Linked DNA regions of Arabidopsis thaliana. The protein of the gene in region 4 interacts with the protein of the main gene of each other region in a pairwise test. Each region holds a gene or a part of one and is shown on either strand. Other genes may lie near its edges.

Region 1 (7,693 bases), on a different chromosome or scaffold from region 4:
ATATATCCTATCCATATATGTGGACATGCTAAGAGTTGGATCTTTCCCCGTGAGTTATGGAGTTTGGAGATAAGAAGAAGTGGTGAATAAATCAAAAAGAAAAAATCAATCACGAAAATGAAAATAGAAAAAAAAAAAAAGAAGAAGAAGAGGAAATTAAACCTGATAAGGCGTTAATGCCATGGAAACAAGTCTTGGAGAAAGAAGTATTGCCCTGTGGATTATAATCATCAAGCAATGATTCTTCATCATCAATCTTCTTAACGATAAATGGCTCCGACATGTAATCTTTGTCCTCGCTCATACTTGTTTAGTCTTTGACTCTGCTCTTTGGATATCGAAGAGACAAAGAGAGAGAGACGGAGAGATCGAGAGACGAAGGAAATAGATAGAGAGAAGTTGGAACTTGGAAGTAAACAATAAAGAAACCCTCAAAAGGCAATATATATAGTGTTAATACATTTACTAGGGTCAATGTTTTTAAATTACATCAATTATTAGAGCTGATTTTTATGCAGTATCCATGCACATATGATATCTACACGATATTAGCGTGGCAGTGGAATTCTATTTAATGTTTATTGACCAATTAAATATTCGTGGATGGGGTTTTTAGAAACTAATTGAAATTTAAGTGCAACTCTTTATATAGAAAAAAATTATAACCACTTACACACAAATCTACCATAATTTGCGATTTGTGTGGTTCTAGAATTTAATGTTAGTTGTATAAGAAAATTGGTAGGAAGAGAGAAAATAAAACTCCACGAAGTTTTCCACTTTAATGTTAGGGCGTTTAACTTAGGTGATAGAGAGAATGCAAGTACCAAATCCTCTTTCGGTGAAGACTGAAGAGGGATCAAATTTTCATAAAAATACATGGTCCAAAGTAGTATATCATGTCAATAATCTGTTGGACGAGACTGGAGCACTTGAAAAATCGTCACATATTTTTTTGTTGTCGTTTGTTAAAAATAGTTGACAAGTGAATCCCCAGACCTAAAGAGTAGATAAGTATGAATAGCCTTGATCTGACGTAAATCAATATCTTGACGCTAGTTTACAGTTATGTTCTACAAGGTGCCGAGTAGTTCTAACAATAATGAAAATATCGACATATATATCTATATATTTTCGTTACTATTAAAACCATACTGCAAATTTTTTACAGTTATCCAATATGTTTTCATTCAGAAATCGAAACCAAAAACTTTTATAGGTTACAAAATGAGTTCTTTAGAAAAGAAGAATACTCATTGCCGGCCATTTCCCCATGTTGTGCTTGTGAAAAAATAGCATGCACATGTTGATAAAAAAAAAAAGTATCTTCTTCAAGATCACCATTCAAAATGCATGTGAGATGTCTAACAAAGAGAGCTAAATTGAGCTTTGTTGTTAATGCTAATAACTATAGTTGTACTCCAAACCTCATATTTCTTGTCGATTAATGTCAATATATAAGGCATTATTAAGAGTATTTATTGATACGTAGGGTAATGAACGGGTAAAACGTTTATAAGTTTGTGGTTCATATCATTGCACCGATTGTAAAATATCGTTGTCGTTATTTATTTCCAACTGCCCAAAGCCCAAGTCTTGTATAAAAGAAGATTGCGGCAAAAAGCAATCGCGTTAGAACACGTGATTTTGTAAAAAGCTTGGAAAAATCAATAATGGGCTTTTTAGTACTGGGCCGAGAGACCCAATGTCACTCTTTTCTACATATGCATACTTCTTTCGCAGGAATTTTTTAAATTGTATTATTTGGTTTGCCTTACCCTTTATAGTATTACTATTTTCGAAATGGAAAATATCTTTTTTTTTGGTGGATGAATGGGAAAATATCTTTAGAAACACAAGTATTCATGAAAAATATCATTCATAGGGCCACTCTCATTTTTTTTAGGATTTAGAACAAAATCCGAAAAGGAGTGACATAACATTACAACATTAGGAATAAAGTAGATAAAACATTGATCAAAGGAAATTTAGTTATAGTTGAAAATTTTTATTATAAAAAGGGAACGAAGGGAGATTTTTTCAAGGGCATTTTGGTCCACCCTCTTGAGTTTTCCAGTTGTTGTAGCAGGAGCAAACTTGTTTGTTCCCATAGTAACCCGGAGGCACACAGAGACACTTCCTGCAGCATTTGTTGCAGAACGTAATGCAAGCCTTGTGGTACTGTGTCTTTTTACACCTCCTATCACATTCCGATGGGCATTCTGGTTGTTTCAAATACAAACAATATCAAAATGTTAACACTCAAAAATTTTTTATTACTAATAAAAACAACAGAATCTAGTGGAAATTCATTAGCTTTTTTTTTTACTGTTTTGTGGGTCTCAAGATAGTGGGTTGCTTTGACTGTATGACCATATTAAGGGGCAATTTCGTCAATATCTAATATATTTTGAGTCTACGGATCTGACCAAACAGTCCACTTAACACTTCACTTTCAACTTATTTTCTGCAACTGAAATGCTTATTTTTTTTTATTATAACACAATAAAAGATTTCTTGAATTGTTTATTTTTCGTCGATTATGAGATTAAAAAAAAATTGTTTAAGAATAGCTGTGAAGAAAAAACTTACGGGTACGTTTCAGGCTTCCTGGTCCATAACGTTTCTGAAAATTAACCAAAAAAGGTAACTAATTAATCACTTTTCGTTAAGTTACGAGATAACAATAGGTATAAAATATAGTTTAAAAGGTAATTACTAGTCGATTCAATAATAAAACTGACCTGGCTCCACTTCACATTAGATCCACTTGAGGCCATAACCTAAAAAACGAAAAAAAGAGAGAGGAAAAACAAGTAAAATTAATTTCATTAAAAAGGCTAAATTAAATATATTCCAACTAAAAGTACAATAATAGAACCCACATTTGTCTCATATCGTTCGTCAATAAGGAAAACAATCAAATATATTATCTTCAATATTTTCAAACATTGAAAGAAGAAAAAAATAATAGAGGTGTTACCATGGTTTGAAGCATGAAGAGGACAATGAGGGTCAAGAGGAAGATAGCTCCATATGACTTAGCCATTTTCAGTTTGGGATATTGTTATCCAAAGAACCAAACACTCCTCTAAATCTCCTCAAACTAGTTTTAGTCTCTTGAGGTATGAAAAGAAGTGTACTGAGAGAGGAGTTTTTGGTTGAGGACCCAATGATGTTGCATATAAGCTATATATACACACATTTGCTCGTATCAATTATTCCCTGTGGCAACACATATCATTATTACTGTATTCCTCCAATTATATTATTCCACGTATGCCTCCAATGTTAGTCCCATTTTATTACTTGCTATTGGTAATTAGACTGCGGTAGATGGTTTTGCACATGGTTTAAGGAAAGCTTATAGTACTAAATATAAAATACTATGAACCTGTTTTTGATAAATCAAGTTTTGCTTATAACACCAGTTGGAGTATCTCTTTGAAGATTATTTTTTAAAAACTTTAGTTTTCTTAGGACATTTCTGCTTAGTTTTATTTTCCTGTGATTTTGTACATTTTTAGATTCATTTTAGGGTGAATATTTTAACTAAGAAATGCCAAACTAAAACTCAATATCCATCTAACTACGATTTTATAGAAGGAAAATGAAAAAGGGTTTATTTTGTGGCTTTAAATTGGGTGCTTGCTTGGTGGGAAGACAATATTGAACGGGTTTTTTTAACCACAAATATATTATCAGAGTTTATAAAAGATAATTGAAATTGTATTTTAACAATGAACAAAAAAAGGTGGGACGGTGCATTGAAGAAGGAGACGGGAGTTAGATCTGACCAACGGTCCCAACTGTAAATTATAATCACACTCTTACTATACTATTATTCATTCAAATACCATTATTTGTTGACGGATCATGAACATATAGTCAAGATAATTTCTTTAGATAGTCAAGATAAATTCATTAATTACTCTAATTCTTCTGATATGTTTCCAGAGAAAAACCAGATCTAGATCCACTGTTATAATTCGAGGGCAAATGAAATACTAGTAGCTAACAGAAGAATACTGTTTTAGAGTTACGATCTAGAATTCTAGATATATATACAACATTTTTGTTACACCTGATTTGAGATATTACAAAAGTGCTGTGAACCTTAAAACACAGGTAACTCACCACTAGCATCTCAAGTTGGGAAATGAAAGAAAAATCACGATTAACGAAAGAATAAGCAACTTGAAACACACACATATATATGCAACAAACTAAAAACGTATATATGCGCACACCCAAACATAAATGCGCATTCACATCCCAACTTGAATATCAGATCATATAAAGTTGTTGTTTTAAGTAAAAGAAAACTAAATAAAAGGTTGAAAAAAAGAAAAGAAAAAGAGAAGGCATGTGCAGTTTTAGCCAGTTTCACATGCTCACCCAATTATTGTTTTGAGTCGATCTGCTCGGAGAAAAGGAGGGAACATTGGGATATTTTTTGGTTTTCATAAGAAATGTTATCTTTTCTAGTAACGATTAAAGTTGTTTTATACCCAAAAATAACAATAATATGTATGTAATGAGACGTCACAAAAAAAAAAAAAAAAGTAAATGAGAAAATATATTTAGCCAGATCAATTGGCGGAAAACAAGATTTACCTTCGTTATTATATTATGTATAGGATATATACAAATGTATAAGAAGATCATGATAACTTGTAAGAAATGACAATGAATAAGCTTAACTCCAAGGTGAAGATTATATATAAGAGTGTTGGTGTATAATCCAGTTGGATCATTTCATTATCTTCAGATTATGTTTGATTCAAGCCAAGGATGATGTCTTGTTTAAGTTTAAGTTTTAAATTCGGTTTATGAGAGACTACAACTTAATTTTATTTATAATAAGTCTGAATTTGCTAAACCAGGCTAGACAAACCTACTAATGTAGAAGACATTTGTAGCTACTGATTCCCCTAATCTAGTTGAAACTGTATGGTACTAATTTATAGGAATCTTTGTAGTTAGATTTATAAAATAATTGGTGTGACACAAAATTTATTACAAGGGGTTAGTATAAGAAACTTGTAGGGTCGGGGTACGGCACGGCAAAGCACGGACCGTAGGACCATTGAAATGCGATTTCAAATAAAAAGATTTGAAAGCATGTGATCCATCACATGGATATTGATTATTACTGTCTAACAAAATAAACTTGTAGATCGTGTCCAGTTGTTCTTCAAACACATGCGTATAGAAAATGTATAACATTTTGTTATTAATGTTACAAGAAATAAAAGATAATGATCATCCATCATTCATGATGTCATCTTGTTCACACTTGCACAAACCTAATAAGTTATATACAAGACATTTTTCTAGTTTGGTTAGATTAGGTTTCTTTTCCAAAAACCGAACTATCAACTTTTTTTTGTGTCAAAATTTTCAAAAATTAAATAAAATTGACTGTCTAAAAAATCACAAAAGACTATGCAAATTTCTCTTTAGTAATATATCAATTTTGATCCAAATGAAAATGTAGGGGTCGTTATGTAAACAAATGAAAACATGAGGACCCTCCGGGCGTGTATAGTTCACACTTGACAAATAGGGGTTTTGGAGTTAGGCCCTTCCATCCTAATCGCGCTTCCGTCGCCGACGCCATTTTACTCGCCGTCGTCATCTCCGGCCACGCTTGTCATCGTTCGCAATTAATCGAAATCGAAATTTTCCGGTAAGTATCCTCCTTTCTTATTACCGTATCATTCGAGAGTTGGAATCGGATCGGAAATGTAATTGGTTTTGAGGTCAATAGGTTAATACGTTTGTGACAATGGTGGAGTTTCGAGTGTGAATGAAAAAACTCCATTTGCTCGAGAAGATTTGATGAAATGGTTTGTATAGTATTGATTTGATTCTACTTGAATGATTAATGTTTGAATTGCTCTTTGTTGCTTGCAGATTCCTGAAAAAAATGAATTTCTTAAACTCAGCAGCATCCATTTGCAGAAGAGTTAGTTTGAGGGAACTGATCACTGAGGTTCCTGCTTATAGTGGCAGTAGCATTTCCGGTATAGATTTGCGCTTTTCAAAATCTATATTTTGATGATCTTAACTAGTTAACTCATTTGTGTAATTGTTGCTGTTGTTCTTGTTTTGGGGATGTTAAAGATGGTTCTTCAAGTGGCTTGAGTTTGGTCTTCAAGCGTTGGGCTACTAAGAAAACTGCTGGTTCTACAAAGAACGGTCGTGACTCTAATCCCAAGTTTCTCGGTGTTAAGAAATTCGGAGGAGAGGTAAGAAAATAAATAACAAGCGAGATAAGATTTTGATAATCAAATCAGTCTTGGTCTGTGTGAAGAAAATAATGTTTGCCTGTGTGTGTGTGTGATTTTGCAGAGTGTGATACCAGGAAACATCATAGTTCGTCAACGGGGAACTCGGTTTCATCCTGGAGACTATGTGGGGATTGGTAAGGACCATACTCTGTTTGCATTGAAGGAAGGACGAGTCAGGTTCGAGAAAAGCAAGATTACAGGACGCAAATGGATTCATGTTGATCCAACAGGTGGTCATGTTCTTCACCCTATCTACACAAAAGCTGCAGCTGCTCAATCGACTAAGTTGAAGACAGCTTCATAGTCGTGAATACTGATTGCAACAATCTAAACGTGGTTTTCATTTCCTTTAGATCATGTGATCTCTCGAGTAAAAGATGATGCTATCTTAGAGCAGAACCACTCAATTCAATAACATCTGCTGTTTTGTTTCCCTCTAGTCTTTGTCTGGATTTTGATGAAGGGCTTTGTTTGGATTCAACAAATCAAGTTTTATTCGGAAATAGATGTTAATCAAGTCTGAGTTTCTCTCATATGTGTTACGCAAAACAGACAAGTAACAGTCTGAGATAATGTTTTCCCGGCCCGTTATAAACTCATCGAATAATGGGCCAACATTCTAAGCCTCAGGCTCTGGCCCGTCAACGCGGCTAGATCCGTTCATTGAATCAGAAACATATTTATCCTATCGGGTTTAAAATTTCAATTAAAATTTCAAACATAAATTTCTCTCATATTATCATATATGGACGAACCAGCTTTGTTTTTGGCATAATGTGAAATCAAGAGCCAACTTGTTTTAGCCATTAAAGTTTCCTCAAATACTTCTCAAGTTGCCATGCACATCAATATTTAGTTTTTGAATTATTATTTTCTTGTAATTTTACACATTCCTATTCAAAAACAATACAATTAAAATAAAATCATTTCGTTTATAACACAAAAAAAGGAAGAAGAAGATGTCATTGTTTTTTTCTTTATTCACAAATCTTAAGAACAGTCCATATTAATGCATACTAACCACCCATGCGATACATTCATCGTATATGATAAATCCTTCCAATTGCATTTGCACACATACATAAAGTAGGATATGTGTATATATAAAACATATACAGGCATAACATATAATAGATTTTAGAAAGAAAGAAAAAATCACAGATAGATCATCAAATAATTGCGTCAGATAATATATCCTGAAAAAAAAAAACTAATTAATATTATCCTTGTTATGGGCATAAAGCTTATTTAATGTCGGTTTGCCTTATTCTTCCTAACTAAAGAGTAAAAAGCCTTATAACTATTTCTAAAACAATAATATATGTGTTATATTATTTTGTTGTCTATGAAATCTATAGATAATCGTAGTGCGGTAACAATAAGACCAATCAACAATC
Region 2 (8,101 bases), on a different chromosome or scaffold from region 4:
CTTCTCTTTTGGTTGTTCAACTTCGGAGATCATGGTCGCCGGAAATGGTAGAAGCATGCAGTGAAGAAGATAGATGAGAAATTAGGGTTATATATAGATTACATATCTAAATATTGTGGACATAATTAGTTGTGGTGTCAAAAAAAAAAAAAAAAAAATTAGTTGTAGTCATTCATTGTCCAAAGATTTGTTTATAGACATAAATCATAGCTTATAAGATTTTTTTTTCTAAAGGTAAATAATGGTTATAGTTTATAAATAATTAAAATATAAAGATCTACAAGGCTTAAAAATAAAAATTCAAAAGGAAATTAAAATCTACAAAATAAACCTAAATGTAAAAACCATAAAACAAAAAAAATCAAGATACACTAATTCAATTGCATTAATTCATAAATTTTATCCTTATTTTTAATATATTAATTTCTTTTTGTAAAGGTAAACAATGGTTATAAATAATTAAAATTGGAAATAAAGGACCTTAAAAATATAAGATATACACAAAACCTTAAAAAGCCTCATATCAAAAGGAAATTAAAATCTACAAAATAAACCTAAATTTAAAAACCATAAACCAAAAAATATGAGGCACATTTTCTTTCTTTTCCAAAATCATAAACCAAAAATTCAAGACACAATAATTCATAAATTATATTCGTTTTTGTAATATAGTCCCTTAATGTATTATTAAATCATACTTTCTCCCATGGTTTGGTTCCCGGTTAAATCAGTCGGCAATTGGTACAATCAAATTGGTTATTACCAATTAAGATAAACCCACGTGGCATAGCTTGCCCGAATCGTAGTGGTCTCCATGTAAACAGCAGGAAGATGGGATCCACAATTATTCATTCAAAACGCAACGTTTTTAAACTCTTCGTCTTCTTCTTCCCCCGCGTATAAATTCTCATTTCTGTCATTTTGATCAGATCCAAGAAACCAAAAGAGTAAAACAAACACAGAGAAGCTTCTTCTTAAACGATGCCGTACTATACCAGAGATGACAACGACGTCGACGATTTCGATGAGTTTGATCCAACGCCGTACAGTGGTGGTTACGACATCACGGTGATCTACGGCCGTCCGATTCCACCTTCCGATGAGACTTGTTATCCTCTCTCATCTGGTGTCGATGATGATTTCGAATACGAGAGACCTGAATTTACTCAGATCCATGAGCCTTCTGCTTACGGTGATGAAGCTCTTAACACAGAGTACAGTAGCTATTCTCGACCCAAGCCACGACCCGCATTTCGACCCGATTCAGGTGGTGGTGGTCATGTTCAAGGTGAAAGACCAAATCCTGGTTATGGATCTGAATCCGGTTATGGGAGGAAACCGGAATCTGAGTACGGATCTGGCTATGGTGGACAAACGGAGGTGGAGTATGGTCGGAGACCTGAGCAGAGTTATGGATCTGGTTATGGTGGAAGGACGGAGACTGAATCGGAGTATGGATCTGGTGGTGGTGGAAGAACTGAGGTTGAGTATGGTAGGAGACCTGAATCAGGGCTTGGATCTGGTTATGGTGGGAGATCGGAGTCTGAGTATGAGCGTAAGCCTAGCTATGGAAGGTCTGAGGAACAAGAAGAAGGTTATAGGAAGCCTAGCTATGGAAGATCTGAAGAACAAGAGGAAGGTTACAGGAAGCCAAGTTATGGAAGATCTGAGGAGCAGGAAGAAGGATATAGAAAGCCTAGCTATGGAAGATCTGAGGAGGAACAAGAGGAAGGTTATAGGAAGCCTAGCTATGGAAGATCTGAGGAACAAGAGGAAGGAAGTTACAGGAAACCTAGTTATGGGAGGTCTGATGATCAGGTGGAGAGTTACATTAAGCCTAGCTATGGAAGATCTGAGGAACAGGAGGAGGGAAGTTACAGGAAGCCTAGTTATGGGAGGTCTGAGGAACAGGAAGAGGGGAGTTACAGGAAGCAGCCTAGCTATGGCCGTGGCAATGACGATGATGATGATGAGCAGCGTAGGAACCGTTCTGGTTCTGGTGATGATGAGGAAGGGAGCTATGGCCGCAAGAAATATGTAAGTTGAAGAAATTAATATTTTGTTGAATCCTTTGGTGATCATATTGTAGAGTGTAGAGTAATCCAAAGTTTATATCTTTAGTGATTGTTTTATGATCATTCATGATTTAGCCATCTATAAACATCATTATAAAGAACCTGTCTAAAGTCTTTGTTTGGATACATACATGTCAACGAAATGTATCTGTTTCACAGTTTACATGAATAGAAAGCTAGTTCTAGGATTCCATTTGACTTTGGTGGTGTAGTATTCGATTGAATATGGACAACATTTCGTTTGGTTGAATTATGCATAGCTTGCATCTAGGTTGTGTGGAAATTAAGTTTGATTGGTTAGCACTGAAAACCCTTTGTTGATCATAGTGTAGAGTAACTCGTTATTGAACTAAAGTTATATCTTTAGTGGTGGTTCTTGTCGATTAATGATTTAGTCATCTGTGAACATCCATTAAGAAGAACAATGTTGTCTAGTTACATACTTACATGTCAACATTATTTTATTGAATTTGGCCATCTTGAGGATATCTGAAGGTCTCTCTTTCCTTTCTTATGGTCATAGTTCATAGCAGCGGCATCATTAACCTGATGTCATTGTATGGGTCATTACATAGGTTACACTTTTGACGTAGTCCTAATTATTTCCAATACACAATTTGCAGGGTGGCAATGACTCTGATGAGGATGAGGAGAAGAAGAAGCACCGTCACAAGCATCACCACCAGAAGCGTCGTGACGAAGACGATGAGTAAACTAAACCCTCTCTGTGCTAGAGAGTGTAATGAGAATGTGTGTTTGCTTAGCCTCAAAAATCTACTAAATAAAGAGCTAAGTCACATACCTTTCTACATAATATCTTCCGACGTTGGTGTTGTGTTTGTTTGAATCTCTGTATTATTACTACAGAGTCTTCGTACTGGTTCATAATAAGACCTTTAAGTGGTATTGGGTCACCATGTAACTGTTGCTACTCTGTTTCGTTTTCTATCTATCGTTTTGTGTTATGATTTACTTTTCTATCCTTATATAATTATGATGATCATTTCGTGTAATATCAGAATGTTTTTTGCATGAATTGGAATTAGATGGAAACTTTGTTTAAGAAAATATCAGGAGTCTTGTTGCACCATGGTCCCAGTCCTCAATAGTATTGGCGAGTCTAAACCAAGAAGCTAGAACCAAGAAGCTAGAAATAGGATCCAAGACTAAGTTAGGAAGACTGATATATGTAACTAAGACTTCATGAACCAAATATAAACCTTAATTTTGTGGATCATATGAATACAGCGCGGCACATTAGTCTCCCACACAAAACAAGCCCAATAGTGTGAGATGGTCACGCCTGATAAGGTTTTCTATATGCCTTTTAGTTCTCACATACGAATTCAAAAACTCTATCCAGTGAAAGAAAGACCGTAAGAAGAAGAGAGAAAGAGACAAACCTGGTTCTCATGCAGGATTTTCAGGACACCGAGCAGAGGCTCATCCACGCTTTGATCAGGCTAGCCGAAACTCTAAGGGTTGCGACTCGGCAATCTTTGTATTCGACGGTGGTGTTTACATTCCAATGGTTGGTTTGTGATACCGAACCGTTTAAATTAAATACAATTTGAATTTGGTGAAGAATGGTTGGTCATGCTCAAACAAGTGAGGGTTGATCTTGTTCAGTCTAGGGAAGATCGATCGTGCTCGGCCATACCTGGTATTGGATTAGTGTAGTGTTACAATGATTTATGTATGTATAAATCAGTATCAAGAGAACAGTCTTTTGAGGAAGGCTGACGGAAACATCTCGACCTAGTACTCCGTGTTAGGGTGTTTCGGGCCGATAGGTGAAATGTAGGCTTATCAAACTGGTAGGTTGAACTCACTGATTAAGACACTCTTCTCTCAGTTATACTTTCACATTGTTGAAGCTTCTTTGATTCGAATGATCAATTGGATCAAGGTGATAATTAGTATTCCACGGAAGGTTGGCGATTAATAAAACACCAATTCTATTCATGTAACGAAATTGAACTTTATTTATTCCACCAAGTCAAACCGAAAGAAATGAAATACATTTATCAGCAACCCACTTTTGGGTTTCTCTCATATCCTTTCTATTCTATTGGGTTTAAATTTAAATCAAACTATAAAAAAAATGCCCTTGAACAAGAGTTAGCCATAAACACTTTTTTTTAGCCATAAAAACTTAATCACTGATTAATTAACCGCAGAGCAAACCCTACGAATTTCTCCATTTGTCCCCGTCTTCACACCAATATTACTCATTTTAACCATTGACCTTGCGAACTGGACATTGAAGTTGCCTCTAGGTGCCATAAACTCTTGCACTATGGATCTTGTGGCCGGACTAGTCCAAAGAACGTGATCGGATTGAAGAATTCCTCTGTTACGGCTGAGATTGATGAAATAAGATGTGTCAAAAGTGTTTCCACTTCCGGTGTCAAGATCAACACGTGCTGATCCGTCGCCGTTTTGGGGACAAAGTCTTTGAAGTTGTGGTACAAATGTTTGGTCCATTGTTGGATCTGCTGTGTTTCCGCTCGAGTTGAATATCCTGTTCGTGATAAACCCACATGCAGCTGTTCCGATCGTGTGTCCTCCTCCTATTAATTCATATAGGTTCATCTTCAGTTTGATTAACAATATAATTGAAAAATATATATATGTAATATGTACACCGAAATAAAACTTAATTTTCTTTGAAAAATACGAAAATGTTTGGTTTAAACATGAACCTGATCCTAGAGTTATCCTTATTCTTATGCAAATTAAGTACGAGTGACAATAAACCATGCAGTGCACAACACTAACTATTAAAGTGAATATTCAAAATATGAAAGAAAAAAACACGTACGAGGAGTTTCCATCCAAACTAATGTATTGGATCTATTCTGATTTCTAAACGGTGATATATAGGTTACATACCAACAAGAGTGACGAGATCGCGAGTGTTGAGGCGAAAAGCGGAGAATTTCCTTTGTTGAATGGCTAGAGAGTCACTTGGAGAAGGAAGATTGTTAACGTTCGATGCCAAGGAAACTCTTCCATCTCTACGTCCTGTTGGAACTTGCCAACTTTGTCCGTTTGTCTACATACACCCATGCAAATTAAAGCCAAACAAACGTTAATTACTCTCTGTCCGCTTGTACATTATTTTTGTTTTTACTTTCTTTGTAACCAATACTAAGTTAATATTATAGAAGAAACCAAGTAAAACAAACATAAATGTTACACATAATTGTTTGAAAATATAATATTATAAAATCTATATTTTTTTCAAATATATGTTATGTAAGTTCTTAAGTATCAACGTTTAGTTTGTAAACACAAAACCAAAGAAATGAAGAAACGTAATCTTTGTATTTTGGCGTATATATACCTTGTAAAATTAGTTAATATAAAACAAAAAATTGTGTTGCCTTTGTTAATCCTCTTTACTTACTCATATCTAAATACAAACACAAAATATTGGCATTTAAAACAATCAAGACATAGTTCTTTGCTTATATATGATATATTGATTGTTGTATAATTAGTATATATATAAACTTACGAGAGAAACCGAATCACGAGCCGCTAAGGCCAAGATATCAGCACAAGAGACAACACCAGGACATGCTGCCTCGAGCTGCCTCTTGGCATCGTCAATGACCTCAAAACCATGGAGGTTAACGTTTGCGCCAGCGGTTCTTTCAGAGTTAGGTCCCGATAAAAGCACCGAACCATCACAACCTTGGACAAAGCAATCATGGTTGTGCATTCTCAGTAACCCGGGTGCAACCTTTGGATCTGAACCAAAGTGAGATGCCACAGTGGTCCGAACAATTGTCTCGGCATTAGGGCACGTAGTCGAGTAGAACCCGATCCTCGTACCTTGGCCATAAACGGCGATGAGACAACTAAGGAAGACTATGACCAAAGCAAATGATCGGACCAAGCCCATTTTTTCTTTTTGTTGGTTTGTGTTTTAGATAAGACCGCAAGTGTGTTTCGAGTTAGTAGATAGAGTTTGTTTTAGATGCATGGAAAGTGATACGAGAACGTGAGTAACTTATAGAGGGATTGAGAAGTCAAATGGTGATGTTGAAGTCAGCGAAAGGGGCTAGAGTGTTGAGGTAATTTGACAAAACGACGACGTTGTAATCCAATTCAAAACTGAAAACCGCGTTATGTGATTGGTCATGAGCTGGCTTCGCGCGTTGACGATTGCAGATCATGTTGGGTTTGTTTTTTCTCTTTTGTTCGTTTCTATCAAACTAATTCCTAATTAATAGTGTGTAATCATTTATAATGAATGTGATTATAGAATATTGTTTTAGCAGGCGTTAAACTTTGATTCAACTCTAATTCTTTATTAAGGAAACTCGTATTAGTGCATGATATTTTCATCTACAATGCACCGACTTTGGACTGGTTAATCGAATAAGTGTTAAAATACTTTAGGAAAAGAAAAAGTGTTAAAATATCCAAAACATGAACATCCACTATTCAACAAAAGTTCACTGACCGTCTCACAAAAGTGTTAAAATATCCAAAACATGAACATTCACTAATCACTATTCAACAAAAGTCCACGGACATCACTATTCAACAAAAGTCCACGGACCGATCCATCGTGAGAGATTAGTGTATTGACCGGAACATATAGATAGTATAGTCTTTAACAAACAAACAAATAACAAAATAGTATAGTGGGTTTTCTTAATAATTAAGCTTTGTTTCTTTGACTGGTTCGGTTTGTTTTGTTCGAATTTTAGTAATCTGGAAATGGAAGAATGATGTCGAATTTTTCAGTTCGATTTTTTGGTAAAGATATATATTTCGGATAAAGATCGGGTTCTACCCGCACCAGGTTTGCTATATAGAATGATGTTGTGATGATAAAGATTAATTCTATACGTTTACTTTCATAACAGATTAATGACTAATGGCGACACGTTGATTGGTGGTGATCACTGATCAATAGCCAGAACTCATGCTGACTAAGACTAACCATCGTTGTTGGTCCATAGGAATTTTTTCTGCAATTAATTTTTATTTGAAACAATAAAAATTTGTAACAGAATAGTGACATATAACAAATAAAGAGTTTTCTACTTGTCCCTTTAGGATATAATAAAGTCAGATGTTTTAAAAAGAAGAGTTTTCTATGAATTCCTGTTTCTTAAAATAATTTTTGTCAATATAGATGTTATTTTCCTATAAAAATCCATGCATGACGTTAACAAAGACTAGAAAAATTCAAAAATTGAAGATTATCATATATTATATCTTGTCGTCGTTGATGTATATTCATCGACCAAATTTTGGTCTCTACACATATGTATATATTGGCGTCGAAGCTTAAAAGAAAAAAAAAGTAAAAACCCTTATGGTCTATATATAAATCTTGTTTTTATGGTACCAAAACCATATTCTAACTAATCGTAACGCAAGTGATCGTCTTTGCTTCAAATGTAAAGCTAGATAACCTGAACGAGTTTGGATGCTGGCATGCTGCGACCTTGAAGTCGGTCCATTGGGTTTTTATTTGTACATACGGACAACATTAATTGCCCATGAGTTGCTAAAATCCTTCTCTGGGTCTTGTTACAAGCACCCTCTTCAAATTAGCCTCTATATATTTTGCATGAAAATAGTCTGAGATTTCCCCGCAAATGATATTTGAATTGGAAATAATTTTTCTCTAACCCCTAACCCCTAAACCCTAAACACTAAATTGCATAATCTCAATTTTTCTGTTGAGCACATCTATCTAAAGATGTTAATTGAGCTGTTCAGATCTAAATGGGTGAAGTCCAAATATGAACAAAACTAATGATACAAACTCAATAGCACCGTATCCAAATATGACCAAACTCAATAGCACCGTATCCAAATATGACCAAACTCAAATAAGACAATGATTAATTAGACAGTGTATGGAACCTAAATATATAATATAATTTTCTATTTTCCGCAAAAACACATTTTCTCTCAAACTCAAAGAATTGCATATTTTTTAAATTACATTTTTTTTTTGCCAAAATTGTAAAAATATTTTTTGGAGTTAAAAT
Region 3 (7,507 bases), on a different chromosome or scaffold from region 4:
CGGTCCCTGGTTAGCAAAACCGAACTCCTCTTCAGCCTTAACCAAGAGATTCATAAGAATGGGGTGGTTCAGATACGTCGCAAGCACCACGAATCTCCTGCAACTTCTCCCAACGTAAACCGCCACGTGTCCTGACGGTACATCTGACGGCACAGATCGTCTGACAGACGACATTCGCGCCTTGTTACGCCATTGCCGAAGCATTTGCCTTAGCTTCACAATGTGTCGGATCTTGCTACATTTTCCGATACCTCCAGCCATTTTTTCCGATTACAGAAGCTTTAACGTGTTGGTATTTCGTTAGACGAGAAAGTGTGAGAAACAGAGAAAATGTGAGGTAGAGAGTTTTTGGGAGGGGGGAGGTATATATAGTAAAGAGAGTAACATAATGCCCTTAGGATTTTGTGATAATTACGAGATTACCACATTGGTTCTTACTTTTGGCTTCTTGCGACGGATGAAACAGGAATAGTGTGTGATTATGAATTAGATTAATTTTATTCGGGAGATTAGTTTTAATTATTATGTTAACAGAGATATTAGATACGATTCTTAGATGAGGAAACATTAAAGATCTTGTGTGTTTTTTTCTTCTTGATGCATTGGATATGTCTGATTTATGATGGATTCGACATGTGAAATTTAGTGGTTGATTATTGGTTAATATAAAATCGTAGGTAGGTTTTTTATAATATGCTAATGAGAGACTATCATGGAAAAACATGATAAACTGGCAGTCATTAGAGACAAAAGAATTTGCTTAGAAATAATTGAATGAAATTGTCAATGATTAGTAATGTAATAAACTTATAATGGTTAGAAAAAAGTTGTCACGTATTGAAAAAAGGAGAAGTAATTTGTAGTATGTGGTAGGAAAATAATAGCATGTGCTAATGTAAACTAAAGAGTGTTGGACAAAAAGAGCAGTCATTGGAAATACTTTAACACCACATTGGGATTTAGAGACACATAAAAGAGGCATTCCTCTCTTTATTATTCATTATATGATATCAAAGTCTTATATCTTTAAATTATGTGTAGCTATTTCTCGTACCAAAATATGCAAGTTTCTATTCCTGCAGATCTCATATTGAGCAGCAAAACATTGGGTTTATAGGAGGCGACGTCAAATTTAAAAGCCCTAAACGATTCCATAATTGGGAACTTCATATAAGCCGGACATATCACGTCGAACAAAAGATCGCAAACAAATATTTGTATATACAATTTAATTTAAAGATATAAATGTTTAATGTTTCAACTTTCAAGATGTAAAAAAGTGTTATCAGTTAGTTCGTGGTCGTACATGCGAAGGAGTGGCTAGCTACAACCGCCGCTCTTGGGTCAAAGTTTTCAATTCTTCAAACTAAACACAAAAAAAAAATGTTCGAGAAAAAGTTAATATACAAATTTTGAATGAATACTAAATTATATCATTATAAGATTAGTATAATTTCAGCGCACGGAAGTGTGAGGTTTCTGGTTAGTTAATAAAATAAATGAAACCCACCACATGCATGCGTAGCAGGAATTGGAGGAAATGTACTTAAACAAATGTAATTTTAATTTTATACTATATAGTCAAAACATAATCGTCTGTTTTAAAGATTTTGTCACCAGAGGCAAATCAGTTTAATTTATTTTTTACAAATAAGTAAGTTTATTGCTATCAAAACAAAAGTATATTATAAGAGACGAACAATAATGTAATGCGGCGTACCAAAACACTAGTTTTTGTAGTTTACGAATGTGTCCACGCCGCCATGTGCGCTAACGTTTCATCTCCAACAAAGAACCCAAAATATTTCTCGTTTAATGTTTGGAGAAAATATAAACTTGATGATTGTCTCTCAATAGACTTGAATCTGATCGTCTCTCAAATTATACTTAACTCGTACATTTTTATGGGATAAAATATGGCCAATTACATAGAACCCACAATATTCCAGTAACTAAAAAAAACAATTATCCACTCTCACCTTAAAATAAAGTGTGGGAGTGATCCAGACAAATATCAAAAACAATGGTTGATCAATAATCCAAAGTTCCAAACCTCGACCACTTATCCATCCTACATATCACATAGTCTGCATGTGACGTGATTTGGTTATAATATTTGCTTAATATCAATTTACATCGTTTTTGTATATTGCAGTCAAGTTAATATATCAAAGGAAATATGAATTAAATGCAAAGGTAATAAAATATAGTATGTATTAAAACAAATAAACTTGGGTCAATCCAAGTGCATGTGGAAGCTTGGATACATTCCCCATGGCCATGGGTTACTTACTAACACTTACTTGTTGAGTTCTAAGGATCTTCTCGTTTGATTTTCTCTTCTTAAGCATATATATTTTCATTAATGCTGCTATGCAGCAATGAGTTTACAGTATAATTGTTATGTCCTGTGAATTCTTTTAAGTATATATTTTGGTAAACTAATATAAAAAGTACTAGAGATCGAATCCATTTAATGAATCGGCATCGGGCAGTCTGTTTCCGCCCTCTTGCACCATGTTCATACGTAGTGACTGAAACTGTGAGGTTTAATTGGGATCAATCACTAACTCTTGTTCTTACAAAATACTCAACTATCTCATCGATTACTATCTTTTGTGTAATGCCTTTTTCTGAACCAACAATATCCATCTAGTAAATATACACATAATATTAACTAGACAGATTATTATAGGTCTGTACTAGAATTTGCTCACCCCCTTAGGAAAAGAGAAAAACTTTGTTACCTAATTACATTTCATCAGAGAGATTAAATTACTTTATGTCGTTCTTAATTCTTATTTTAAAACACGTAAAACTTAAAACTGTATTTTGTGCATTCAAATTTAGGCTTCAATGGCCATAAGCAGAAGTGATAAACTTGAATAATGTTGGGTATTAAATATATATAGCTTTTTCCGTACAACTTTTGTATAGTACGTGAATTCGTTAACGTTCCACACTTACACTCCAATTCTTTTTAAAAGAAACCTTTTGTAAAGATCTATGATACATGTGGAGCAGGAAAACATATGTTCTGTTAAAAACTTGCATTTTCACGTTATAAAAGCCAATTAAGAATAGATTTAACTCAACACGATATCATGCATGAGCAACTTTTTGGTCGATCGGATTTTAGTTAAGAGTTGGGCTGGAATGTTTTCATGTTCTAATACCAAACCGAATTTTAATTATGATGAGGTTATAAACTTATAATTCAACCATGTCCATGTCATATATGTGATGGTTTTAACCCAACCAACTTGAAATCTCGGATCGGAGCGGCCGTACCAAATTTGGTTCGGATCGATATTCAGAACACAGCTGACGAACTCTCAATGCCTTATCAGTTGGGCCTGAACCCAACGCAGTACTCCTACCAAGGGATACGACTCGGCCCATCATCGCTAATTACCAAACATGTAGATCAAATCGTCATTACCTTTTTTCTAACCCAACTAAAATCGTGATTACTTCAAACGACAAACGTAGAAAAGAAACACAAAACTAGCCACGTCATCGATCCTCCCAAGATTAAACCAATCAGAAGCGAGGACGCAGATCGCCAACGTCAGTATTCGCTCTCATAAGTCGAATCTTGACCGTCGAAAATGTGAAGATTGGACCACTTCTGTATTTCCTAATATTAACCGACTAAAACATTCACCTATATAATCATAATCACCTTTTACTATTCCCACACAATCATCAAGAAAACAAAACTCGCTTCCTGATAATCAAATCAAAAGCTTCTCTATCAAGCTTATCGAAAAGTCACATCTTTTGGAAGAAACAATGGCTCGTACCAAGCAAACCGCTAGGAAATCCACCGGAGGTAAAGCTCCCAGGAAGCAGCTTGCCACCAAGGTTTGTCCTTCTATCTTTCATTCATACCGAAATAGTAGATCTAGGGTTCAAATTTGGGTTGAATAACGAGTTTTTGTGGACGAAATCTGAAAAATATGATCTAGGTTTTCTATATTGTGTTGAATTTTTAGTTTATGATCTAATTTAGTATGAATCTTGCGGTTTTGATTTTGTTTATGATGAAATTGGTTGGAAGGGGATCTAGGGTTTATCTAATTTGAGTATTCGATTGCGTCTCTAACGAATTCTTCAATACAGGCGGCGAGGAAATCAGCACCAACCACCGGAGGAGTCAAGAAGCCTCACCGTTACCGTCCAGGAACCGTCGCTCTTCGTGAGATTCGTAAGTACCAGAAGAGTACTGAATTGTTGATCCGCAAGCTTCCCTTCCAGCGTCTCGTTCGGGAAATAGCTCAGGACTTCAAGGTAAAATTTATACTCATTAGCGGCGGATTAAAACTTATCAATTAGGTTATGTTATGGAATTAGGTATACTAATTAGGTTAAATTTTGCAGACGGATCTGAGGTTTCAGAGTCACGCGGTGTTAGCTCTTCAAGAGGCGGCTGAGGCATACCTAGTTGGACTTTTCGAGGATACTAATCTCTGCGCTATTCACGCCAAGAGGGTTACGATCATGCCTAAGGACATTCAATTGGCTAGAAGAATTCGTGGAGAACGTGCTTAAGCTTTTATTTACCTAATTCAAGTTTAGATTTTTACGATGATGTATTAGTATTCTGGATTCTTGTTTCCTATCGCTCTTTTATTTGCTTACCAAGTACATGGTGTTAATTGTTGAACTTACAGCTCTTTTAAGCAAACAGTTATGAAATCTTTCCTTTCCGTTATTGGTTCTTGTTGATTTCTTTGCAAAATTCATTCACAAGTTGCACATAACCCAGAAAAAACTGACAATTTTGATACGAAGATGCATATGAATTTGATTGGATAGTGTGTATGAACGATTGGATAAAACCAACTTGCGATAAAGTTTAAATGTTGCCGCAAAATTCAGAATTATGCTCTTCTCTTTTTTTGAATTTAAAAGGCTTGTCGATGTCAATATGAGCTTCGTAACTTTGGTCTGAAAAACAGATAAGAAAGAGACATAAAAAAGCGTTTTTCTGTTTTAACAAAACAAATTACTTGGAGACAATATGGGCTACATTTTGTTTAAAATTTATTTATATGGGCCAGTTATTGGGCCTTTTAAAATTGTAGATTACATTTTCGTTAACTTGGTCATGTTCGAAAAACTCGGAGTCCTCACGTCAGCGCCGGCGAAATTCCGGTACTGCTCCGTCTTCTACGTGTATTGAAGGTGGGCGTTTCTTTAATAATGCCTGGTTTCTGTTCACAAGTCCAATGTATTTCTTAATTTCATTGAAATTTTACTGTGCCAATCATTGCGAATTCAAGTTGATTGTTGGTTCAGCTTTTTAAGTGTTTGCCGTAGAATTAATCGGATTATCAAAATGCTTGAATCTCCGAGCAAATGAAAAATGCTTTACTTAACTTTAGCTTTAAATATTCGTATCGTTTAGCAATGGTGTCAATTGCAAAATAAGAGAACACTGTAAAATTTCTCATTGCAATGAAAAGATGTCTTTTTTCTTATGGTCATTGCGTTGTAGGAGAAAACAGTGCATCATAAAGGATACGTTTTCACTTGCATTGATTAATTCTATTAATCTGCTGACATGTGGATGTAATTTGGTAGCAACCTGATACTGATCCATCAATATCGTTTTTTTCTTGCTGTGTGTTTCAGGAAAGTGTGACTGAGATTGAAGAGTATTGATGGGGTCAGAATTGTGGTATACATACAAGTAGATGAAAAATGGACCCAAGAGCTAATCAATGAGGTTTGGGTTCATTAGATTTTTATTCCACATGTGTTATTGTCTGCCTTGGTGTTTCTTCTTTGTTTTATTCATTAAGGTGTGTTTTCATTCCTTTTTTGGTTGCTTGTGGCCAATTTTGTATCTGAAAACAAACATGATGATCTGTCTTGTGCCTTATATGTTTACTGGGAAGAAAGTGTACATACTTCTACTTTGATTCTAGGTGAGGAGTTTGATAATCTGTATATTCAGATTCATATGCCAACATTTGGTATTGTCCAACGTTTGGTGTTGAGTGTAACTGTGTCAAATATTTATATTTCTTTATCAATCTATGAGTTATTTTGGCTTCTATGTTGCCCTTTAGTGATAGAGCACAATGGTAAATTCAGGTTGGCCATAATATCTTTGCCTGCTAGTATTCATAAACCTGTTCACAATCATGTGTTTTCTTAAATATTTGAAACACTGAAACTTCGTTCTCTGTGAAAGCTCATGAAACAGTTTTGATGTTTGTCATCTCAAGATGTGTAGAGTTGGAGTCAAGTCCATTAGAATTATGTGAAGTCCTTTTAAATTTGTGTCTTAGTCTTATAAGTCTTGACTCTTGTCCCACCTTTTGTGCATCATACGCACATGGTTGTTTGTACATTCTATTTATGTATATTTAGGTAGTGCATATAGATTCATTCTAAAGGCCAAAGACTAGTCACTCTTTGTCTAGTGTACACAAATTTCGGGTCTCACAAAGATTTCATTGGATTCTTGATTATTTCATGATTTGTTATTAGCTGCATTATTAGGATCATATGATGTATTAATTATGTTTTTTCTTCTGGACTCTTTGTTTCTTGTCATCATCACAACTAACAAGTTCTTATTTTATATTTGTTTTGCTTTCTTTGTGTGTCTTCTTAACTACTTTTCAATAAAAGAATGTTTTTCTTACTTTTAGGTTTCGCAACTCTGACTTTACAATAAGTCTTTTTTCTGGTTTCCATGACAACAAATCTTCCCATATATCTCAAGATAATCTCTTTCTTTCATACACTAAAAAGTTTCACTTCGTTTCTAGGAACTTCACTATCTCTTTTATGGTTGTTGGGTGTATACAGAAATCCATTGATGTCTACCTTAAAACCTCAAACTTGTAGAAGTGTGAAAGTTGTACATCATAAATCTATGGTAGAAAATATACTCACAAGATTACTAACCCTTTAATAATACTGGTGTAGACATCAATGACAACAAAAAACCAGCACAAAGAAAAGAAAGCTTGAGGAAAGGCTTGGCTCGAGGAAAACAATTTCAGAGCAAAACCCAAAAAAATGAAAAGAAAAGACTCTCAAAGTTTAAGGGACAAGTCAAGGTTCTTCTGCTTCTCTTCTTCAGCTGGCTTCAACAATTCCTCGCCTCTCTGCCATAGTTCAGAAGTTGGAAACTCTACTGGAATCCTTCCTACATCGAACCTACCGATGTTTTCACATGTGGAAGTCAACGGTGGAGCAATCATCATCTGATGATGATTATAATGATTCTCTGTTGAAGTTAGTTTTGCTATTGCTGGTTGCTGAACTAGTGGTATCCTTGACCAGTTGATCTGACCATACTCACCACCGTAAACGTTATATGAACTTGGCTTATGACTCATTGAGTGTGCCTGAATACCCAAGGTTCTGTTGCTGTACTGTCCATGGAACGGGACCGGAGCAAAACCATATGGATGCCCGAAAGCTGCGGCAGATGCCATCCGTTGCCCTCGCTTTGCCAAAGTCCTTTCTCTTTTGTGGGCGT
Region 4 (7,614 bases):
GCTTTACAACCCCAACTATGTATTGCCATATGCCCATATTGCACCTATAGCTGAATAGGCGTAACAAAGCTACCTGAAAGTAGTTAACTATAATTCGTTTTAGTATGTTGGTATCATTTAAATAACTTTAAAACTTTCTCATGAAAAATAAAAAAATATTACTACTTGCTTAAGCTTCCTTTTGTTCCTAGTCAATAAATATGTCCCTAGGGAATTGGAACATTCCTCTTTTTCACATATCTTGGTAATCAAAACCCCATTTTTTGTTATGTTGTGACAGAGACTAGCTCTTAACTGACACTACAAATGATTTATGTTCATTGTTAATCTTACCATGTTAAGTTCACTAATTTGTATGTAACCGACGTACGTGAGATAATCTCTACTTCATGTTTCTACTGTGCTCTGTAACGGTTGTCTTTAACCAATATACATTGACTAAAATCCCAAAAAACAATACTATGCTCTAAAAATGGTTAAAGATTAGATGAATAAATGGAAAATAATAAAGATGTAGTATGAGATATGAAATAAATAAAAGTAATCCCCTCGTTATATATTTTGCATAATAGCAGAAGCATATTCTTCTATGAATGAATTTGTTTACTTTTCAGTGGGATGTTAGATAATGATTCCATTCTATTTAACGAATATGATTAGTTTTAGCAGAATATAGAATTTCACTCTTTATCTCTCTAGTTAGACAAGTATCCCCAATATCATTTACTCGTTCTTTTTATCAATATATATATATATATATATAAAAACTCATATTTTGTAGTGACGAAGAAACACGAAAATAGTAATATATAAACCGGTATAAAACCATATTCCATATATATATTTAAATTGTTGGGACAGAAATATATATAGATTGAGAAAGAGCAGAATATGTATTTGAAGTGTTGGTTGAGAGTTGAGACAAATTCTCCATACCAGCCAAAATTAAGGGGTTGGAAATCTCAAACCAAAAACTACGATTATAACATAAATGGTACTGTGCATATGTGACCTATAAATATTAGCTTAAAGCTACGTACTTGTTGCCAACCTGTCTTTGAATAATGTTGGATACAACTATTTTACAGGATCGACGGTTAATTAACTGAAGCATTAATGCATATTTTATGCATGTAATTAAGTAACTGTAGTGATCGAATGAAAAAGGTCATAACATGGCCACTAGGTATACATGTAGTATTTTTAAAACACTAGAAACTGTATGAACGCTAAATAGTTTAAAAATTGCCCATGTTGTTTTCCTAGATGGTAAGACTCGAGATCGCTTAGACGGCCCTGTCGTAATTAAATAGCCAATTACACCAATCAATGGAATTTTCAACTGTAAGTACAAACGGCTAAAAAGACGTTCTAATCAGGCAAGTGGTTAACTACAAAATTTAGAACGATGCACGTTTTGATCAATATGTAAGCATATTCTTAACACCTTATATATAGATGGGTATATATGACAGTACTCTTAACACAATAACACCGTATAGATAGATAGATATGACACAGAAGTTGTGATCTTAAAAGGTATACTCGGCTAAAAGACGCTACAAGTACTCAAATGGTACGAATAATGAATTTAGATGCACAAAACGTATATATTGATCAATATGTATAATAATTTTCTAACCTTATAATGAATACTACATTGAGGTTGTTAAAAAGTTGAAAGAACTATATTATACTATGATTAAGGTAACGTATTGACGTATTGTAAAAATATTCAAATGAGCGCCTGAGATGTGCCCACATAATATTTCATCAAGAATACGCCGTGAAGCTCAAAATTCTTAAAAGAACAAACGAACTCATTATTGAATAGTCTAGACCTATATATCTATCAAATCGAGCTAATTATAATAATAGTTATAGGGTACAACACGAAACCCTAGCTATGAATAAAAGAAAGCCATATATGGAAAGGAATTTTCTAACATAACGAGACACATGCATTTCTCTAACATGTAACATCTACCGAAGATATGAGAAGAAAAGAAATAAACACGAGAAACCAAAATATGCATATCAACTAAACATTAAACACCAAATATCCCAAAGGAAAGACGACTCCACAAGATGATAAAAACACATAAATTTCCGGACATTAAAATTCAATTAAAAAGGTGGTCTTGAAGGTGTTCCAGCTCCCCATCCAAGCAAATGAGGATCACCAGAAAACCCATAACCACCCACATTACCTCCTAACTGTCCCTGACCGGTCACTCCAGACGGCGGAGATGCTGATGGAGCTTGTTGCATCTGCGGTGGCCCTCCTCCTCCTCCTCCTCCGCCACCACCACCTTCTTCTTCCTCCTCCTCAATCGGTAGTCTCTCGAAAACCGCATTTGAGAACGAAGCCGCCATTAGTATAACCGGAGCTGATGCAATAAGGGGAGCCACAACGCTTCCTCCGACCACCTGACCTTGCCCTCCGGCTAAAAATATAGACAAACCACCGGCACCAGGCGGTGCAGGAGGTGGCAAAACAGTCCCCGTTAGCGAAAGAATCTCAAACCTTCCATGTAAAGTCACAACTCCTCCTCCTCCGGACACACCACCGCCATTTCCAGGAGTGACTGGCTGACGGAGAGTGACGTTAGATACGGTGCCGTTTCCTCCTAAAACGGAGACGCCTCTCCCTCTCCTCCTAGCGTACGTGGAAACACTCTCAACTATGTCAGCTCCAGGAGATACTTCAAGAACGTGAGATCTAAGCGCGTTGGGGCTATCACGAGTTACTATGATCGGTGGCTTGGCTTTGTTCTTAGATCCTGGTGGACGTCCACGTGGACGTTTTCCCGGTGCTGAGCTTGATGTATTCGGGTCTGAATCGGGTCGACCCTGTTGATGATGATCTTTGTTTGAATGGTCAGATTCTCTTGAATCATCCGACGGTTGTTGTTGTTGTTGATGTTGCTGGTGCTGATGATGATGCTGGTCGATAAGATTGATCCCGCCCTGCGGTTGAAGCTGTTGGTGGTGAATCTCCGGTCTAAAGAGGTTATGGAAGTATCTAGAAGCTCCACCGCCTTGCTCGTAACCGCCTTCCATCGCCGCCGCATCTACTAATTCCCTATCCCACCACTGCTTATTCGCCAGCTCAAATCAATTTCTCGATTCTTGATCCTGCTCGTTCATATATTGGTAGCTAGGTGAAGAAGAGCGTAAAGAGAGAAAAAGAAAACTCAGATCGAGAAGTCAAAACTCATGATTTTGAGGAAACAATAGCTAAAGCATTAAGGTGTGATCGGTTACGCAAGCCGACAAAATATAGAAACAGACCAAGAACAGAACTAAATTAAAGACGAAGCAAAAGATATAAAAAAGGTGACTTATGTTAAATGATCTCTCTCATGAAAGGTAAGAGGAAACCCTAGTTAGGTAGATTAATTAGGGCAAGAGAAAGAAGTAGCTTCTTCTTTGCATAGGAGTCGTATTTAGCGATTCTGATGTGCTATGGGAAAAAAAGGAGAGAGAAGCTTGAGATTCATGTGCGACTCTGCAATAAATTTTTGGTCCTCTCATTGAACGAGGAAAGTAAAAGCAAAGACATACACCGAGAATTTAGCGGAGAAACAGTCCCCTTTATTATATCATTAATATAATAATTATTATTTGAATAATATGTTCTTTTTTAAGTAAATTAATACTATTTATTACATATACACAAATGCCGACAAAAAAATTTATGTGTGTAAGTGGTTATCCTTACATAAGATCTACCAAAGAAAACTAGGGGTTCGTCGCAGTTTTTGTTTGGCTCCAATCGGATAATACAAAAGAAATTTAGAGAAGGAATTCTTATATTTGAAAGCATGAGATAAGATTAACAGAAGAGATAACATTTGGTCAATTTGTTTATCAGATACTATTATATACGAGCTAAAGAAAACGTATCATTTAACAAAAAAAAAAAAAAAAAAAAAATGTCAAGTGGAAGTTGGGTACACAAGGATTAAAACGAATCCTACATTCCCTTTAAGGCGCGTGGAGGTTATGTTTAAACAAAAGTTATTTGATAAATGTTATTATCATGTTACTAACTTATTTATGGTTTTAGTAACTTAATTAAAAGGTTTTCGTATAAGTAAAAATGAGAAATAGTACTATTTAGTCTTCTCTTACTTGAGAAAATACTACTATAGGTCATTTTATTTAGAATTTTAATTTACTTACGCATCTTTTTATTGTAAAACTTAGTATAAACTTGCATTATTACTAGATATTTGTAGGCTTGTGATTTGCATAGTGCTGCTGATATATGTTATTATTCATATTCAAACTGGATGCAGAACGTGAGTTATATAGAAGAAGAAAAGAAAAAAAATTTACATGTATAGTATTATTATTAGTTTTGTCAACTAATTTTGTAAAAATATAATGTATAATAATTTAAAATAGATATATAGTATATGGCTTGCGAATACAATATTCTAAGAAGAACCCACGTTCTATAATAAACAAACGGATACGAACCATCTTTACTATAGAAAAAGAAGAAGAGAATTAGTCACTTTTAAGCGCTGCAGAACAACAATTGATTAATTCTGCTTGTGATGTGTTTTTTTTTTTTTTTGGTTGCTACTAAATTATCTTGCTAAACCCGAGCTAATTATATATCAAAGAATCAATGTTCTACTAAAGTACTTTATATTCACTTTTATTGTCAAGAGGGCATAAGGCGCATAACGTAGAACAATCAATCTAGGTAATGGTCCTTTGTTCTATACTGAGATAGTGAGATCTACCCATGTATACTCCTTTAAATATCGTAAAACGGAGTGGACCCTTTTTGATGATAAGTTTGGAGAAAGTTAATGATCCATTAATGTGATAAGACTAGCTGATAATTATCAAAATGTCAAATTAGTTGATACTACTACTTTATATTTTCAAAAATTATTGATAAGTACTCCACTTTGTTGCCTTATGTCGAATTTGGTGAATCACTAATTAGAACTACGCTTTTTCTAACATGGACAAAAAAATATACCAGAAAAAGACAACTAGACACTGATAATTTATTGATTTAGAATGAGTAATGTATTAGTAAAATTTTTTTTTGATATATCATCTTCATACAAATGATATCAAACTTTTAATTTACAAAAATTGTTTGGGAAACAAACGATAATCCTGAAAACACTTACCAATTGCATCAACCCATTCAAATAATTATTGACTTATTCATCTTAATTTATTGAACTGACTAAACTCGATCCGACCCATTAATGCATGACCTCATATCGGACCGTGACTGGTTGTCTTAATTTTTAACTGCACCCATATAGTAACACCTAAGCTCCCTCAACGTGGACGCATGTGGCCTGAACCATGGTGGGACCAATCTCAGTAGGAAAGTAGGAAGTGGATCGGAACCGTCCATCCTCATGGCATGTGGGACCCAGGAACCGTCGTTTTCATCGGCGTAACCTGGCGAGTCAGGGCTCGGTGCAATGTACTTGAACCGGACACGTTAGCTTGGTCCGCACGTGCACAGACAAAAGTCACGTGCGGTCAAAAGGTCAGAGCATGAAAGTGAAAGCCAAGCTGTGTGACCACGTGGAGGCGGTCGGATCATCGGTACTTGGTCAATACCTTATCCAATCACAGTACTCCTCCCGAATCTATCTAACTTACTTTCGCGTCTTTTGCCCGTATTTCTAATGCTTAAAAGCAAAAACGTACGTGAAGTCTTTTGTGTGCGGTATTTTAATCATAAACTGGTCCAATTTTTTTCTATCGATCGAAAACGGAATGTGTGGAACTATCAAGATACTTCGAAAATAAGTGAGATATGTTTTATTTGCCCCCAAAACAGAAAAGTGAGAGGTGTTTCATGTGATATATAATTTAATTTTAAGCCATAAAGAGAGAGAACTACACGTCATCCAAGTCTATAAATATGTGACTGTACCTAAGTTCTTATGACGCTGTCGCTACTCGTCTAGATCATGAACACATTTCTCTCACATTAATTAAAGATTATATATGTATTAATGAATTCAGACGTCCAGTTACTGTCGCGTGGAATTCAATGTTAGAGAACTCATTAGAGAAAACTAAGTTAAGTTCTTGGTATCCATAAGAGTTTATATATTTACCAAACATGGAATAAAAGCAGTTCTAAATTGTTCCGACAAACACGTAAACTGATCAAAACATATATATATTTTTTTTTTTTCCCAACGACCAAAATATCTCGTAAGGATGCAGTAGATATGTGAGGTTCGGAGGCACTAAAGAATATCAATTTGGTTTCGGTTCATAATTGATCCCTTGATGATCTTGTAGCTGTTATTGTTCTTCTTTTTATTGTGGCTAGCTATTGCTTCTTCAGCCTACGCCCCTACTCCATATATGTATCTCCCCAGTCTGCTCTCATGCGATCACGAAAGGGTATCTCTTTTAGGGAAATCCAACAACTGGTGAATAAAATGCTGGCTCTTTATATCTAGAAAAAAAAACATCAAACAAAAAGTAAAGGTCGTGAGACTAAATATCATACCCTCTTTAACAATAAATAATATGGGCAAAAAATTGTGATGATTTAGGGATACCGTACCCATCAATCAGTATGCTAATTTAACTTCTATATTTATGTTCTTTTGTTTTTTTTGCTTTCTTTTCTCATCAATCAAAATACCACGAGCCAGATGTATATAAGATATTAATGCCATCCTTAAAGTTTATACTTACATAGCGATTCTATTCTCTACAGCACCTTTAAATTTTGTTTTTATAGTTTTGAAAGTGTAAGCAATGAGTTCGCTGTATATAAAATGAAAAAAAAAATCTAGCTAGTCTTGAACTCTCAGTTCTCATTAATTTTATGTACGTTAGTTAAAAAGTATTGATTTATCAATTCGTGGCTTTTTTTAAACCAAGTAAAGAACATGTATTATAACGAGTTTCTAACTCAGCTAAGTTTGATTATATTTTCTCCAAAAACTCGAACATCAATCGGGTGAAGACTTTCCCCCTTCTATCAGGAATTCAGAATTTAATTTACTAAATATCATACTTTGGAAATATTATTCATTGATAGTTCATAGTTGATAATGAATATATGGATGCATAAAATCCTTAGATAAGAAAACAATCAACAAGTCTAATCGAGCTCTTTATATCAAATTATCAATCAAATCATACTTTTTAGTTTGTCGCACGGAATCTAACATGCCCCGCATGTTAGCTTTGTACAAGAAGAAATACGTAACGATGAGTTGCACATTATTAGAGTAAATTAAATTGCTTTAGTTAAAATATTTGGCAATGATCTTCTGATAAAGTGGATAGATGAAAACGCCCCTGATATTCTTTTCTATTTTTTCTATATTAAATCTTAAAATTGTGCCTCATTTGTTTTGGTAAAAAATAAATAAATTATTTTTATATCTTAAAAAAAACGATTTGATTCCATTGACCTACAGTATTGCGTATTGTATGTCGTATGATAATAAATCTACATTACTCGAAAAATAAATATGAGAATCTAAGTACCATGATATGATTAATGGTTTGTGATAACATTATCACTATGTTATCATTTGGATTCAAACCTAAATAAAATACGTGAACCTAACTAAGTATTCATCAATC

Evidence for each region.
Region 1: the proteins of ESC (region 4) and GASA4 interact in a two-hybrid assay, tested with the Arabidopsis thaliana proteins (one large-scale study listed by BioGRID).
Region 2: the proteins of ESC (region 4) and AT5G39580 interact in a two-hybrid assay, tested with the Arabidopsis thaliana proteins (one large-scale study listed by BioGRID).
Region 3: the proteins of ESC (region 4) and AT5G10980 interact in a two-hybrid assay, tested with the Arabidopsis thaliana proteins (one large-scale study listed by BioGRID).

The regions. Positions count from the first base shown.
Region 1 is NC_003076.8:4,940,373-4,948,065, reverse strand, and holds GASA4 (GAST1 protein homolog 4), read right to left. Parts: upstream 3,251-7,693; 5' UTR 3,050-3,250; coding exon 2,984-3,049; exon of another isoform or gene 2,784-2,983; coding exon 2,745-2,783; intron 2,627-2,744; coding exon 2,593-2,626; intron 2,223-2,592; coding exon 2,041-2,222; 3' UTR 1,767-2,040; downstream 1-1,766. Other genes in the region: AT5G15240 (Transmembrane amino acid transporter family protein), read right to left, coding at 163-304; AT5G15220 (Ribosomal protein L27 family protein), read left to right, coding at 5,933-6,029, 6,130-6,254, 6,358-6,600. UniProt on the Arabidopsis thaliana protein: Gibberellin-regulated protein involved in the regulation of floral meristem and floral organ identity, and promotion of seed size and weight.
Region 2 is NC_003076.8:15,843,040-15,851,140, forward strand, and holds AT5G39580 (Peroxidase superfamily protein), read right to left. Parts: upstream 6,103-8,101; 5' UTR 5,989-6,102; coding exon 5,599-5,988; intron 5,134-5,598; coding exon 4,971-5,133; coding exon of another isoform or gene 4,967-4,970; intron 4,649-4,966; coding exon 4,242-4,648; 3' UTR 4,026-4,241; downstream 1-4,025. Other genes in the region: AT5G39560 (Galactose oxidase/kelch repeat superfamily protein), read right to left, coding at 1-57; AT5G39570 (uncharacterized protein), read left to right, coding at 1,100-2,037, 2,699-2,921.
Region 3 is NC_003076.8:3,469,638-3,477,144, reverse strand, and holds AT5G10980 (Histone superfamily protein), read left to right. Parts: upstream 1-3,574; 5' UTR 3,575-3,795; coding exon 3,796-3,867; intron 3,868-4,125; coding exon 4,126-4,293; intron 4,294-4,383; coding exon 4,384-4,554; 3' UTR 4,555-4,740; downstream 4,741-7,507. Other genes in the region: AT5G10990 (SAUR-like auxin-responsive protein family), read right to left, coding at 1-261; AT5G10970 (C2H2 and C2HC zinc fingers superfamily protein), read right to left, coding at 7,059-7,507. UniProt on the Arabidopsis thaliana protein: Variant histone H3 which replaces conventional H3 in a wide range of nucleosomes in active genes. Constitutes the predominant form of histone H3 in non-dividing cells and is incorporated into chromatin independently of DNA synthesis.
Region 4 is NC_003070.9:7,268,473-7,276,086, reverse strand, and holds ESC (Putative AT-hook DNA-binding family protein), read right to left. Parts: upstream 3,532-7,614; 5' UTR 3,064-3,531; coding exon 2,128-3,063; 3' UTR 2,015-2,127; downstream 1-2,014.